Linked DNA regions of Alligator mississippiensis. The protein of the gene in region 1 interacts with the protein of each later gene in a pairwise test. Links are inferred from orthologs where the notes say so. Each region holds a gene or a part of one and is shown in the gene's direction. Other genes may lie near its edges.

Region 1 (7,330 bases):
ATACAGGTATTAATAACTTGATGGTCCTATCTGTGTAGCTAAACCAGGATTATACTGATATAATTGGGTTAGTTCACAATCCCACCCTAGTATGGAGTAGGCCTTCTTCAGCCAGCTCGTTGCATCTGCTAAAGGACATCTAAGCCTTGCTGAGGTTCTGTTCCCTTCCCCCTCCACATGATATCACCACAGATTAGTTATTTGTACTCAAGTTTGACCAAGTTAAAGGAAACAGAGTGCAATGGTTGCCAATATTAAGAAATAATATTAGGAAATACATCCCATGTGTCAAGACTGCGCTCAAGCTAAACTCTCACTGCAGCAAATGGAAATCTTTCCTAAGAAAAGGATGATTAAGTTAGGAAAAGGACTTCAATGGGCCCTTTAAGGAGGCAGCTGTTTAAGCAGGGTGTCAGGAAAAGGGATTTCTGGGTTTTGTTACCCACTGAACTGCTGTATGACCTTTTTAACTCCTCTGTGAAATAGCATTCACTTCCATAAAATGGACAGAATGTCTACCTCCGGAAGGTGGTGTGGGTTCTTATGTTTAACTAATTCAGATTTCTACAGTGCTTTGAGATCCCAAAGTGAAAAGTTTTGGGGGTATTTCCTACAGCATCTTTTGTATAGATTCACTAATTTGTGAGAGTTTGGTTTTTATGTCTGATATGTAAGTTAATTAGTTTCATTATGATATTACCGATGATGCTTTAGTTGCAATTTGACAGAAAAAAACAGTTTCACGTTGACAGTTCAGAGCTGGGTAGAAGATGGCTGCAAAATATAAGACATCGGAAAGGCAAAAAATGCATGGCTGAGATATTACAATTGTGTCTATGGACAGATGTCACGGGACAGATCTCAGCTGATGCAAATCAGTGTTGCTCAGTCAACTGCGTTACGCCAGGTGAAGATTTGGCACAAAGTGCCCTTGTTATATGAACAGCTTCTATATCACTTTAGCCTTCTTCCTATGACGGTCTGAGCATGAGTTTGATACCAGCTGAGAATCTGATCCGGTAGCCACACTGGCCCTTTAAAAGCTCCTAATCTTGGTGACTCTCTTAAATTCATCATCAGCATACCGAAATAATGATCCCTCTTGGTGATTCAGCAAAGAATAACATTGCTGGTCTGAGATCCTGTAAGTCTAGAAACCCTCAATTTTTTTCTTTTACTCTGAAGGAATTTCCTTTTTTTACATTGCTGAGTTCTCTGCTACTGAGGCCAGGAAGTTGTCTATCTACAGTCAACAGTGACCAAAATTTGGTTTTCCTGGAATTCTCTCCCTTCCCTCCACACACCCACACAACAGGCTTTTCAGGACTCCTGCAGTCTGTAATTTGCCTTGCTAGCCTGATAATGTGGTTGCAGAGGCATCAGTTTTGCTAAGTCATCATCTGGAAGGAACACTTTCTTATGCCACAACCTTCATTTTTTCCCTTATGTCCCCTGTCTACCATTGAGCCTGGCTGCAGCATATTCCTAACCGGCCGAATTAAAACCACCCATGTGGACAGTGAGAAATGTGAGAGAGGCCATTGTGTCTGGGGTATGGCCTGAAACTTTCAATTTCAACAGGCACAGTCCAGACAACACAGGGACCCAGAATCCAATGGGTCCGATGCGGTTTTCCTTTGCTTGGCTAAAGAAAATATGTTTCGATCTATTTTTACTGCAAAACATGGGATTCAAGGTCCTTCTCTTTGCTTGTACAAAACAAAAGATGCTGCCCACAATAAAAGAATGGGGGACATCCTGGATTAAATTCAGCTGATTGGTCTACAAAAATCTCTCTCATGGATTCTTCAAATATTTTGTGTCCGCAGACCTAGGAGGCTTTTGTGGAATGTGAAGAAAAGTTACAACAGGAGGTAGCTTTTACAGTTCTGTCACCCACTGAAATGCCTCTTTTTTCATTTCAAGACTGGGGTTGAATCGGTGTCATTCAAGCCTCCACGTTTTGCTCATCCCTCTACTCCTGTTCCATGTTACCTTGCTATGGGATTTTTTTAATGCAATCAGCATTATAATGCTATGACATTGGCATCTTTAAAAATGACTAGATCCCATAAGTATAAGAGATGAGTACAGAGAGAGGGATGCTGAAGGTCCTTAGGAGAGGTCATTCAAGCTCTGTGAGTCTGGATTGTAGGAACAGAACCTCGCCGTGTGAATTGCATCAAATTTGTAAAAAATGAGAGCATTTGAAAGCTTTGATTTAAAAAGAATATGGTATGTTCTCTTTTGACTGTTCAGATTAAAGGTTTCCAAAGAGGACAAAGCGCCTAAACCAAGGAGTGCAAAAAACAGTTCTGTTCATTCTTGATGAAAAGGTTGTGTTTTTAAATGGCTGAAGAAGCACAAAAGTGTGAGGTGCCTCAATGTGGTAGTGAATGCAGATGGGGATAGATGGACAAAAAGGATCAACCCAGACATCTGCTAGGTCATTTCAGTTTCTGCCTCCTATGATCCCATGTCCATAACTTGTAATTTTAGACACATTTCTAAGAGTACAGGTCACAGTGGATACTCCATCTTAAGACACTGTGCATGACATTGCTTCCAGCACACCCATGTTTTCCATGTAACCCATTTCTCCCAAATGTGGAGGCTTGAATATACATATCCCAAGGCTCCAAGCTTTTGGCCACACTGATCTGAAGGCATCTGCCACTTCTCCACACACCAAGAGTGGACCTTGCACAGTAACGCTGCAGTATGAATTGCTACACGTGACCCTTTGCAAAACTGCATAGTAGGAACTCCTCGTGAGGCATTTAATCCTAGACCGGATAAAGGAGTAGAAAATATGGTAGAGAACAAGATTAAGCTGACCAAGAGTATGACTTAGATCATCTAGAAGTGATCTTCTACCACCAACATCTTTAATTATCTAATTTATTTCTTGCTTCAAATTGCTCATGCACTTGCCATATGACTGCATCATATAGCAGCAACCTGATAGCAACCAAGAGGCTCATACAAGATGACCATTCCCTTCTAACACCGTCCCTTTCAAAATCAATAGAGCAGTTTGCAAAAATTGGCCCTTTGAGGTGACATTACCCAGATTCATTTTCAACCTAATGAAACTGTTTTTGTCATCTTTAATTTTTCAAGCTTGAAGAAACTCCCTTCAGTTGTTTTTCTAATACTGTAACTGTGACAGAAAAATATGTTTTACTATCCCTGTTCTGAAGAGAGAGAAGAATAAGTGGACAACTGCCTCAGGCACTTCTTTAGCTGTTAGGAACACTTGTATTGCAAAACCATTATTCCATGGGGTTAAAAATGCCAGTGCCTTCAAAAATCATATCTACTCAAACTCCCAGCATTGCCATCTCCCATCATAGAAAATGAAGGTCGGGAAGGCACCTCAGGAGGTCACATGTAGTCCAACCCCTGCTCAAAGCAGGACCGTCCCCATCTAGATCATCCCAACCAAGGCTTTGTCAAGCCAGGTCTTAAAAACCTCCAAGAATGGAGAGTCCACCACCTCTGTGGGGAGCCTGTCCCAGTGCTGCACTAGTGTTAGCAATGCCAGGGCAGCTTTTATGGAGGAAAAAGCCAGGTGCAGACAACCCTTCAACATACATGCAGCTGGTTATTCTCAGAACATCGACGGATTGTGAACAAAAATAGCTACAGAGTTAAATATGGAAGAGAGAATAATAGAAATCAGACATAAAAGACTGAAATGGGAACTCTTCTGAAACCTCCAGGATTTACCCGTTTTTAACCCAGTGAATCGGTATCCCGCCATCACAACTCAAGAGCTTTGCAGATCCTGCAATGTGATGGTATGACATTGTGGCTCCAGCAGACCACATGGCTGCCTAGGTAGGACAATACCGAAGAAGGGCAGTCAATATAATGCACGCTCAGAAATTGCAACGGCTGTAAAACCCCTGCAAGCTAGTCCTTCCCATGGGTTTTTCAGTCCAGTCCCTCTCTTTCCTAGCCCTCTGAGCTAGGGGGCTCTGCGTTTGAATGGATGAGACTGATGGGTGGCATTCCTGCACGCTTTCACGCCCCCCACCCTGCACCGGGGGGGGTGCGGGGGGCACCCCTGGGGCAGGGGGAAGCCAGGCCCCCCTCCTCTTGGCAGGGATCAAGGGCTGGGGAAGCCCTGGCATCCAGGAGCCTCGGGGCCGGGGGCAGCCGCCTCAGACACAGCAGCTGCCCACACTACAGAGGTGACCGAACGGGGCTTGCAGCTCCCTGCCCCCTCCCCTGGGGGGCGGGGCCCGGCGCGTCGCCCCGCCCACTTGGAACGTTGCAACTTCCCGACGTTCTAAAAAGCGCAACAGTGGATCCGGCACTAGCAGTGCCGCAGGGGGTGGGCTGGGCTGGGCTGGGCTGGGCCGGGCCGGCTCCGCGGCTGCTGCGTGACCGCCCGCCCGGCCGGCTCCTCGCCTGCAAGCCCCCGCTCCCCGCCCCTGCCCCGGCCCCCGGGCACATGGAGCTGCTGTGCGCGGAGGGGCCGCCCCGCGTGCCCCGGGCCGGGCAAGACCCTCAGCTGCTGGGGGACCGGCGGGTGCTGCAGAACCTGCTGAGCCAGGAGGAGCGCTATACCCCGCGGGTCTCCTACTTCCAGTGCGTGCAGAAGGAGATCAAGCCCTACATGCGGAAGATGCTGGCCTTCTGGATGCTGGAGGTACGGGACCCCCCCTCGGCTGGGTCCCTGCTCCCTCCAGCTCTCTGTGCCCAGCCGCCGGCAACTTTCCAAGCCTTTGCCCGTCGGGGGTGGGAGCCCCACCCCGGCTTCCCTGGAGCCCAGCTCCCTGGGGGGAAGGGTTTGGGGGTGCAAAAGGGGGGCAGAGCTCCACCTTGGGGCCTTGCTGGCTGCAGGCTCAGCTGGTGGGAGCAGGGGGCATAAAACCAAGCCCCCCTTTGCCCTATGGGGTATAAGCAGCTATAGAGAAGGTGATGGGCAGCAGCTGGGATGCCTCCCCTCCCTCCATGAGCTGCAGCAGGCAGGGGGGAAGTCCTGCAGGCAGTATGTGGCAATGCCTCTAGGGGTCCCCCTGCTCCCACCTCCTCCCCGCAACCGCTGCTGAAAAAGTTCCCTGCAGCATGTGGGGCCTTTGGATGTGCCTGGTGGATCACGGGCTTGGGCCCATCACGGAAGAACTATAATCCTCCCTTAGGAGGGAGGCCGCAGCGGACGCATCGGGGCAGCTGAAGAGAAAACGGGGATGGGAGTGAGGTCCCAGGTTTAAAACTAGTGGTTTGATGTGGGGGAGTGCGGAGCAGAGCACACCGGACAGTGCTCTGCAGCGTGTCTAAATGCTTGGAGAAGGGTTTGTCAGCGCCCAGGGGAGAGCTCAGCTAGAAGATGCCAGCCACCCACTTCCCCAAACACAAAAGCGAATGCAGCCCCCACCCCGCATGACTCACCTGGACAAGGAAAGGCACCAGAGCCACTTTTCCCTTGTCTTAATTAAAGAATGAAACGCCTCAATTCAGAAGCAAATGGGAGATATAAAATGTGGTTGAATCCAGCCAGTCATTCTCTCTACCCCACTGACTGTTGCCACACAGTACCCAGTTACCTTTAAAATAAAAGAAGTGCTCAGCACTGCCTTTTCTATCATTGTTCTGTCTGTTAAAGCCCCTTCCCTTGCCATCGTTTCTTGGCTGGAAGCTGGGTTGCAGCCTGATCCTATGAAGTGCTGGAGTCAATGGCAGCAGAGGGCCCTCAGCTTCTCGCAGGACTTGTCCCAAAGAAACGTCAGTCCCTCTAGCTTCTGATTTTAAAGTGTTTGAGCAATTAAGACCAAATCCAGGTCCTATTGAAATCAATGGCAAAACTTGTATTGACTTCAGTGGCACCAAGATTTAACACTAATTTTTATGATGATGATGATAATTTTATTTTTTCATTACAGGGGGGAAAAATGCAAGCAAAATTAAACCTCTGAAGTATGAGCCTGACTTTATTTTTTAAAGAGAGTCTCTGTGCTGGGGGTTTATGTCAGCCTGTAAAAGGTACATAGGGAAGCAGAGTTAACATTTGAAAGAGAAGGATGATATTAGTTGCGGCATGAGGGAAAACCTCAGTATTTTTGTAGCTACGGTAAAAGAAGGAAGTACATTTGATCAGTGTTTCAGTGGTATAGTCTTGTGGCTAGGATTGAAATTCAGGACTCCTGGATCCTGTATTTGACCATGATACAAGTATGGTATGCACAGAAAGGAGCTCGGAGCTTGGGCAACTTGGGTTCTCTGCCATTGACTTTGTGACATTGGACAAGCCACCTCATTTGGGTACCATCACCCTGAGGTGTCCAGCTTGAGACATGCTGGGACTCACTTCAGAGGTGCTGAGTCCTCACAATCGGTGTGAGCAGGAAGTGATCAGGATCACTGGTAATCGGGCTATAGGCATCTCACGTCAAAGATGGAGGCAGTCACAAGACCTTACACTTTTATACACACACACACACACACACACACACACGATTGTGGTCTCAACCTCTGCCTCCATTACACCCATGCTACCATTTTTCCTGCCTGCCATGTAAAGACAAGTAGTAGTGTTTGAAGGCATCGGGCTAAACTCTGTGCTCGTGTCACACATGAAGTGTTGAAGTTACAACAGCAGAGAATTTAGCTCTTACTATTTAAAGGTCTTTCTGATCACCAGATATACAGCTGTACAGATGTGTAGTGTACTGTAATAATCAGAAGCTTTGAAGTCCTGCTGCAGATAGAAGCTGCTGAGTTCTGCACATCTAAAGCCTCCTCTCTTCTACTTGGGTTTTGTTAGGTATGTGAGGAACAGAAGTGTGAAGAAGAGGTCTTCCCCTTGGCCATGAATTATGTGGATCGCTACCTATCTTCAGTCCAGACGCGGAAAAATCACTTGCAGCTTCTAGGGGCTGTCTGCATGCTCCTGGCTTCCAAGCTGCGAGAGACCATGCCCCTGACTGTGGAGAAACTCTGCATTTACACAGACAATTCCATCACGGCGCAGCAGCTCCTGGTAACCACCCCACCCTGCCTGATAGAGCCCTCACCTCACTCCCTGCTCTTTATACCCTCTAGGTGCTGCTCCCTGGCAACATATGTGCATTGTGGATCCTGTCTTCCTCCTGTTTCTCCCATTCAGCCTCTTTGCTTCCTAACCCAAGTGGACACACTGCCTTTCTGAGATAGACCAGCACCCTTCCTCAGACCTGCCCCCCCTGCAGATGTAGTGGTGGTCTCCCATTCTGCCCGCTAGATGCAGAATTGTGACACTGAAGTTGTAGAAACCATTCTCTATGCTTCAGTGCACATCCCATCATTGAGCCTCATTGTGTCCCATGTTGGGCTCTGTGCC
Region 2 (7,974 bases), on another chromosome or scaffold:
GCTTGGAACAAAATCTTACTCGGCTCTTCAAAACATGTCTGAGTTGTTAAGAATGCAAATATGCTAAGGTGACAGAGGCAGAGACTCAACCAAAGAAATTTTGTATAGTTTTGTTGAAGTTACTGAGCTGATAACTTATCCTAGTGAAGGGTCTGCCTGTAGAAAATATTGTTTAATTATGTGTTTTGAAGGTAGGAAAAGAATTAAAATACTAAACCTTGGGGAAAAGAAAGTATTTCCATCTAGACTTAAATATAAACAATTAGGAGCCCTCTGTTCAAAATGAGTTGGGCTGAGCAATAAAACTTGTGTATATTAATACCTCCATTCAAAATTTTTTGTTCCCTTAGATTACTGTGTTTTGGCTTCTGTAATCTGTTGGATAAACATTCCTGAAATACTGTGGAGTCTGTTTTCAGTTGATTTAATCACTGATAGGTAAAATCACTGCTGCCAGAGCCTCCAGCTATGCTTCTTAGAATGAATCAGAAACTCTGTGGTATGACTTCACTTACCAAGAAGCAGGTTTAAAAAAAATAAGACAGACAGACACCACTCTTCTCTCCTTGTGTTGACTTGTTTTTGTCCTAGTCCTAGAATCAGAGAGCCCTTCCTCAACCTTTTAGTTTTCTTGAGTTCTTCCAGATGGAAAGAAAATGCATAAAGTGGGAGAAGAAAGGGATACAAGAAGGAACAGATATTCTTGGTCACATGTTCCAGGTGCAACAGTTAATTCTCTGACAGCATGACTTGGTTCCCTGCCTCTTGCCCAATTCATCTTTGATCAGGCATCAAAGGTGCAAAACCCTCATGTAAGTGAACCAGATATGGTCTGCTTTGGGCCTCCCTCTTACTGCCACCTTAATTTTTTTTTTATATATAAATAAAACAGTCTCCCTCATATATATGAGGGAGAGGGAGACTGTTTTAGATAATTCATTGGATCTTTTCTGTCAAGGTTTAGGAGTCTTGGGGTAGGGCACTTGCTTCCACCAACACCTGCTAACTGGCTGCCTCGCCTCAGGCTTTGTTCCTGATGAAAGCTGATTACAGGACAGTTTTGATTTACTGCTGTGCAGTTTGTTTCCTGCTGTCTGATCTCTGCTGTGCCTGTTCTAGCAAAATAAATTGGAGATCAGTTCTGTCCTTCTGGGAGCAGCTTTTAGTTTAGTTGTGTTTAATGTCAGCAGCATCCTGGTGTACTAGGACTCAACCCATCTCCCTGGGCAAAAATTTTGAGATTCCCTTTGGCATCAAGCCTGCCACCCATTCAGCTTACACTGCAATTTCTCCATTATTTCAGCCAATCTAGCTATATCTAGAAGTGGATAACCAGGCAGTTGTGAATTAGTTGTCTTATTTCTCTTCAGAACAACTTCTGATAACATTTGATGCATCTACACAAGACGCTAAATGCGCAATTGACTAATTCTACTGCACATTAGTGCATCGCGGCAAAAGCCGTGCTAATGCACAGTAAAATTAGTCTACTAAGCATTACCATCACTAAAAAGGTGTGTGGTGGCACTACTGTATAGTTACACTAGTTGCTGCACATCAAGTTAGTACCTGTTATTACAAGTACTGAATTTAATGCACAGTAACTATGGTGCCTTAATGCACGGTAGACATGCCCATTCCCAGTTAGCTTAAGCCCAATGGGATGTAGATAAAATTAGCAAGAGGTCTAGAAAACAACCTTGTCAGTGAAATTTAACTTTGTTACCACTGTGTTCAAAAGGTTTGTTTAATCTGAAGTGGAAACCAGAAACAGTATAACACACAAATCCTACTACTCAGTGCTTAGTTACTTACTCCTTTTGAATACTCTTTTAAGTAACATCATTCCATGTACTCACAAAAGCCCTTTTCAACAAATGTTCAGCAGTAATGCTTCTGAGCATTTCAAGGAAGGGAGAAAGTATTTGTATTTCAGTACCACTTAGAAGCTCCTGTCTCAAACCAGGGCTTCATTGATTTAAGTGGTGTCTACATTGGGTATTTTTCTGTAGGCAGTAATACTGGTAGCAGAAGTTTGTTGTTCACAAGATCTGTGATAGAACTGAAAAGTGAAGGAGAGGTAGCAGAAAGCAGTTGCATAGAGTTAATATGTTAAAAGATATTTATTTTAAGCTGATTTCAAACTGAATAACTTCCGATAACATAAAAGCAAGTTATTTTTTCAATGGATTTAAATTCTTCATGGGGGGGGGGGAAAATTCAATGAATTATGTATGAAAGTTTTCTTTGTTGAAAGTCTCCTCTGAACATGCAGTACTAAATATTTTTCCATATCTAAAAACCAATAGGATTAGGGCTGTAAATGGAAGTTTAATCATTTGGAGTAGGGGTGCTCAGTCTCTGGCCCATGAGTCAGACATGGCCCACGGAGCCATCATATCTGGCCCACAGAGCTGTCCATGGGGTGGGAAGTTTGGTGGCAGGGAAGCAGTGGCCATTAATACAGTCACCCTCACCTTGCCAAATTCCCAATCCCCAAACTGTGCACTGCACTGCACTTCACAGCCAATCCACGACACCTCTTCCACCTTCCACATCTGGATTGGTGGATTGGGTCGGGACCATACTCTTTCCCCCTCCCCCCCCCCCCTTTGCAGAGCTGGTTTGGGGCTAAACCACACCCTTCCCATGTCCTCTCCTGCCTGCTGGGTCAAGCCCTGCCCGGTTTACTCATGGGGCTGGGATGGGGCCTCCCCCACACCGTGAAGCCCCCCTTTTCTCTATGGGGCCAAGCAACACTCTCCTCCTGTGTTGCAGGATTATAACTGGGCTGCCCCCTACCCCTTCCACATGGCTGGATGGTGTCCACTGCACCAGTCCCAGTGCTGGATCACTGGCAGGATCCAGGCCATGAACAGACACAGGGCATTATTCTTGCTGGACTCCCACAAATGTGATCCTTTAATAATTATATCAAAGGTTTTCCCAATAATAGAGATAAGGCTAACTGGCCTATAGTTACCTGGATCCTCCTTCCTCCCTTTCTTGAAAATAGAGGCCACATTTTCCCTTTTCTAATCCTGTGGGACCTGACGAGCATCATGAGCGCTCAAGCAATCGTGCCAGTACTGCTATGACACTGGCCAATTCCTTCAGCTCCCTGGGATGATCATCTGGGCCTGCTGACTTAAACACATCTAGCCCCTCCAAGTGTCCCTTCACTAAGTCAGCACTAACAGTTAGTGGGCTGGTTTCCCTCCTGTGCTCATCTACAATCCGGTTGGGAGATATGTCCTGATTCATGGTCAGGAATACAGATGCAAAAAACTCATTGAAAAGCTCAGCCTTGTCCCTCCTATCTGTCACTAATTGCCCTAGTCTGCTCTGTAGGGGTCCTATGTTATCCTGCGCCGCCTTTTTGCTCCCTATATACCTGTAGAAGGACTTTTTGTTGTCTTTAATGTTTGTCACCAGCCTGAGTTCCATTGCTGCTTTGGCCTTTCTCACTGCCTCCCTGCAAGTGAGAGCCAAGGAGGTATACTCCTTGGTAGCTGCCCCCTGCTTCCATAGCCTGTATGCCCCTTTCTTTGCCCCTAGGCTTTCCTGGATTTCCCTGTTCAGCCAAGAGGGTTTCTTGGCCCCTTTGCCCCCTTTCATGCGCAATGGGATTGTCTCCTGCATTTGAAGGATCGTTCCCTTTAGGAATAACCACCCTTCCTGGACTCCCATCTCATCAATGCCCCTGATCATCAGTACCTTGCTAACTAATTTTCTGAGCTTATTGAAGTTGGTTTTTCTGAAGTCTAGCACTTCTGTTCTGCTGGTTATCTTTCTTGAGCCAGCTTTCCCTTAAAATGAGTAGGAGATGAAGCTGGCCAAAACTGCCATGGACTTGAATGAACATGATGCTTGGAATTACAGATTTGAATCTCAGTAAACTTTAGCAAAAATGGCTGATTATTTACCTTTCATGCTCTTACTAATACAGTGCCACCTAGCGTTTGTGAAGCAGATGAAAAATGTCACTGGTCCAGATTTTTGGATTGTTTCAGGTACCTAAATTCCTTCCTTTTCCTCCAGTTTTTGTTCATAAACTCAGCCATGGCTTTCATAATACAATTTTAGCTGTGAAACTTTATTATCAGAAAACCAAAAAAAGATGCGTGCATAGTTTATATTTTCTCTCTCAAGAGCCACAGCAGAAGTCTTAACTGTTCTTGACTTCCTGTAATGTCTATTGTGTGAATATTTCTTCAGTACAGAAGACCGAGAGGAGCTCATTTTTTCTCTTATCTCTGTCATCTGTGTTGAAAGACACTACTGATTTATAACACAGTCACGTCTCTACAAACAGATCCATTTGTTCATTTCACGCTGCACGGCAGGTACTGGTGCCTTTAAATCACTCTCCAGAAACCGTCTGACTTATCAGGTAGGCTGCCATGTTCAGAGACACAGACCCTTCCGTAGGGTGCTGTGGAGAGCGGTGCAGCGCGCAGGCGTGCTGAGTAAGACAGAACAAATGAAGTGATATTAATAAAAAGGACAAGGAAAGGTAGAAGAAGGGGATCTACTGCGACCGTGCAAGGGAGATAGGATCTACCCACGCTCAGCGTTGGCCCAAGGGAGGCCCACGTGACCCCGCTTCGGTTCCCTCCCGCGCTCATTTGCATACAGCCTTCCCGCCCCCCGCGGCGGCGGCGGCGCGCGCAGGCCGGAGGGGGTGACGTCACAAGGCCGTGGAAGACGCGGAGTCAGGCACCGGAACTCCGCCCTACTGGCGGGGGTGGGGACCAGCTGCGAGAGCATGCCGGGAGTGACAATCCTATGTCGGGTTTGGGCGCAGGGAAGAGGGTCTGGGCAGCCGTGGAAAACGGAGTGCGCCTGCGTGAAGGGGGGGACTGCTGATTGGTAGAAGCACCCTGCCCTGGCCAATGGGAGGGCGAGGCGGGGGCGGGGCTCAACGCCGGGGGGTTAGGATTCGAATGCGCGTCGGGAAGCCCCTGGCCGGGCGCAGGCGCAGTGCGAGGCGCGGGGCGCTGCCCCCTAGCGCCGGGGCTCGTGGCGGAGGGGAGATGCCGGGCGAGGAGGAGGAGGAGGCCGAAGCGGGGCCTGGGGGGCCTGCGGCCACCTCCCCCGCGCCATGCCCGTCACCGCCGGCCGAGGAGTGGGACACGCGGCAGCGCTACGAGGAGCTCTGCGGCAGCCTCAACATGGACGAGCGCGCGCGCGCAGAGGCCTGGCTCAGCTACCAGGGCATGAGGCGCAACTACACCCTGGAGGTGCGCGGCGGCCGCGCGGGGCGGGGCCCGGCTGAGGGGCAGGGGAGGGTTTCCGGGCCCCTCCCTCCCCTCCTCTCGGGCCTGAGGGGCGGCGGCGCCCCGTGGCCCTGCCTTTGGTCCCGTCAGAAGTGCGCGGAGAGGGCTCCGCTGCGGCCTGTCGCTGCATGTCCCGCTCGGCCGCGCCTCGTGCCGGCGGAAGGGTTTTGTGGCCGGGTGTAACGACGTGTGGGACCAGAATCAGACCCCCGCCCCCCGGAAGGGTAGCTGGGGGATGAGAGGAGCAGCCCCTGCAGGGGTGCCATAACCAGACCTGGACCCTCAGCTTCTTTCAGGCAGCCTAAAATCCAGGCACGATGCATAGCCTGGGCCCCGAGCGCCATCTGCTGCGGGGTCTCTGTCCTGGCTGCGCCTGTGGTCCCAGCGTCTGAGATCCTCCAGGGCTCCCATCGTGGGTGCCTGCTGCTTGCCAGTGCAGCGGGAACCCAGGATCAGGCTCCGCCTACACCCGCATGATTGGATCTAAGCGTGATCCCGTAATTGCACCTTTTGCCACGCATGTGTGGCATGGCAGGTGAAATTGTGTGGATCGCGTTGGGTTCAATCATGCCGTTACCCCCAGGTGTAGAGAGAACCAGATATTTTTATATCCATTTTGTGTGGTAGCACCTCACAGCTGGCAGGGTGTTCTGCGCTGCATAATTTCCTAGCATGGCTCTAAAGCGATGTAGTCATCTTGTATGGGTGACAGAACAGACTGACCAAAACTATATTCCTTCAGAAAACACTAGGCTCTCTTCTCAGAGCTAGGTAGTGTCTTGGATCTATTGCCTTTGTGACTGACTGAGTTACAAAGTACTGTAGAAGTTTGAAACTTGACCAAGTAGGAATTTCTTAATTCCTTAGTTTCTAATTGTTGATTTTTATTGCAATCAACCTAGACAGTCCAACCTGAAAGTATTAATCCACAGTTCTTCTGGTAGAAAAAAAAGGAACGTACCCGTGGTGGTAATACTTAATATAGTTAAATTCAGTGCATGTCTGCGTGCTTGTGCACACATGTGTATTGTTTATCTAAATAGACAATCATTCCATTGTATAATATGGGTAGAAGAGAAGATAGTTCAGGGAATTATATCCTGGCTAGAAACAGCTATTTTATAATGATCGTGTGCTGGAAAAAAAATATACAGGCATCCCCCGCTTAGTGCCATTAATTGGTTCCAGAAAAACTGAGTGTTAAGCGGAACTGCGCTAAGCGAAACCACTTTCTCCATAGAAATAAATGTAAATAGAAATTTATTGGTTACTGCCTGCCCCACTGCCGCCTCTCCCCCGCCCACCTGCTGACACTCCAGCCCCACATACCAGCCCGGGCCCATGCTCCTGCCTCCTTGCTGGTCTTGGCCCTGGGCACTAGCACAGGTCCCACGCTCATGCCTGCCCCCACCCCCCTTGCTTGCCCACTGGCCTCTCTGGCCTCATGTGCCGCCCTGCTCTGGGCACCGGACCCTGCCGCCGGGTACCAATGCGGGCCCTGCACTCCTGCTGCCCCACTCCGGGCACAGGTCCCCACTGGCCTTGGCTCCAAGCAGTGGTGCGGGCCCCAGGCCACTCACCTCTGTCGCTCCCCACCCCCCTGCTGAACCTCCGATGGAGTGCCATCATGGGCACTGGTGCTCTTGCCGCCCTGTTTTGGGTGCAGGCTTCCACTGGCCCTGGCACGGGCCCCACACACCAGCACAGGTTCCACCCCAACCCCAGGTGCAGACCCCTGCCAGCCCAGGCACCAGCTTGGGTCCCACGCTCCTCCCCTCTTTTGCAGCCACTTGTCTCCACCCACCACACCTGCTCCTGCACCATGTGCCTGGGCCCAGGCTTCTGCCATCCCACCCTGAGCCCTCATGCCTGCCTACGCACTCACTGCCACTCACTCACCTCCCACTCACTGTTGTCGCTTCCACTTCTCCCTGCCCTCCTGCCTGCTGAAACTCCGATTCCACTGAGTGCTATAGCGAAACTGGCTGAGCGCTCAGTGGAATTGGGAATCAATTCCAAGTGAGCACTATAGGAAAATAGTGCTAACTAAAACCGCATTAAGCAGGGGTTGCCTGTAATAGGAATACGCTGGAATTTTGGCTTAAATCTGAAGTGTAAAAAAAAAAAAAAAAAGTTAAATGGCTCTTCAAGTCATTTTGATGTTACCCAATTTGAACCTGTATCTTGTATAGCTGAAATATGGTTCATTTCGGTAGACCTTTTAAATACTTAACACCCATTCCCTTTAAATGTACCGGGCATTTGTTGTAGCTAAAGTAAATGAAAGTCTTCCAAATGTATGTTTTAGAGACTTAATATTTAATTTTGCAGGGAAATGAACTACATTGGCTGGCATGTGCTTTATATGTGGCTTGCAGAAAAGCAGTCCCAACCGTGAGCAAAGGGACTGTCGAAGGAAACTACGTATCTTTAACTAGAATCTTGCGCTGCTCAGAACAGAGGTAACCTCCTCCCCTCCCCCCCCATGTGTTTGCACTTGTAAAATATAAAAAAAACTTTATTTCAGCTACAGCCATTGAGAATGAAGGCATCTAGACATTGAAAATGAAGAAAAATAATAATAATTTTAACTCTTAATACCTGCTTTTGGACACAAAGTATTTAAATGTCAGTGCCTTTGTAACATCACTTAACACTATTATGAATTAGTTTATCATAATGAAACATTCCTAGT

The links.
Region 2: the proteins of CCND3 (region 1) and RBL2 interact in a two-hybrid assay, tested with the Homo sapiens proteins (2 studies listed by BioGRID). The link is inferred for Alligator mississippiensis from reciprocal best matches to the Homo sapiens genes CCND3 and RBL2.

What each region holds. Positions count from the first base shown.
Region 1 is NC_081837.1:39,028,686-39,036,015, reverse strand, and holds the start of CCND3 (G1/S-specific cyclin-D3), read left to right. Parts: upstream 1-4,326; 5' UTR 4,327-4,462; coding exon 4,463-4,660; intron 4,661-6,775; coding exon 6,776-6,991; intron 6,992-7,330. UniProt on the Homo sapiens protein: Regulatory component of the cyclin D3-CDK4 (DC) complex that phosphorylates and inhibits members of the retinoblastoma (RB) protein family including RB1 and regulates the cell-cycle during G(1)/S transition.
Region 2 is NC_081833.1:48,731,423-48,739,396, reverse strand, and holds the start of RBL2 (retinoblastoma-like protein 2), read left to right. Parts: upstream 1-4,958; 5' UTR 4,959-5,036; coding exon 5,037-5,243; intron 5,244-5,553; exon of another isoform or gene 5,554-5,758; intron 5,759-7,610; coding exon 7,611-7,741; intron 7,742-7,974. UniProt on the Homo sapiens protein: Key regulator of entry into cell division. Directly involved in heterochromatin formation by maintaining overall chromatin structure and, in particular, that of constitutive heterochromatin by stabilizing histone methylation.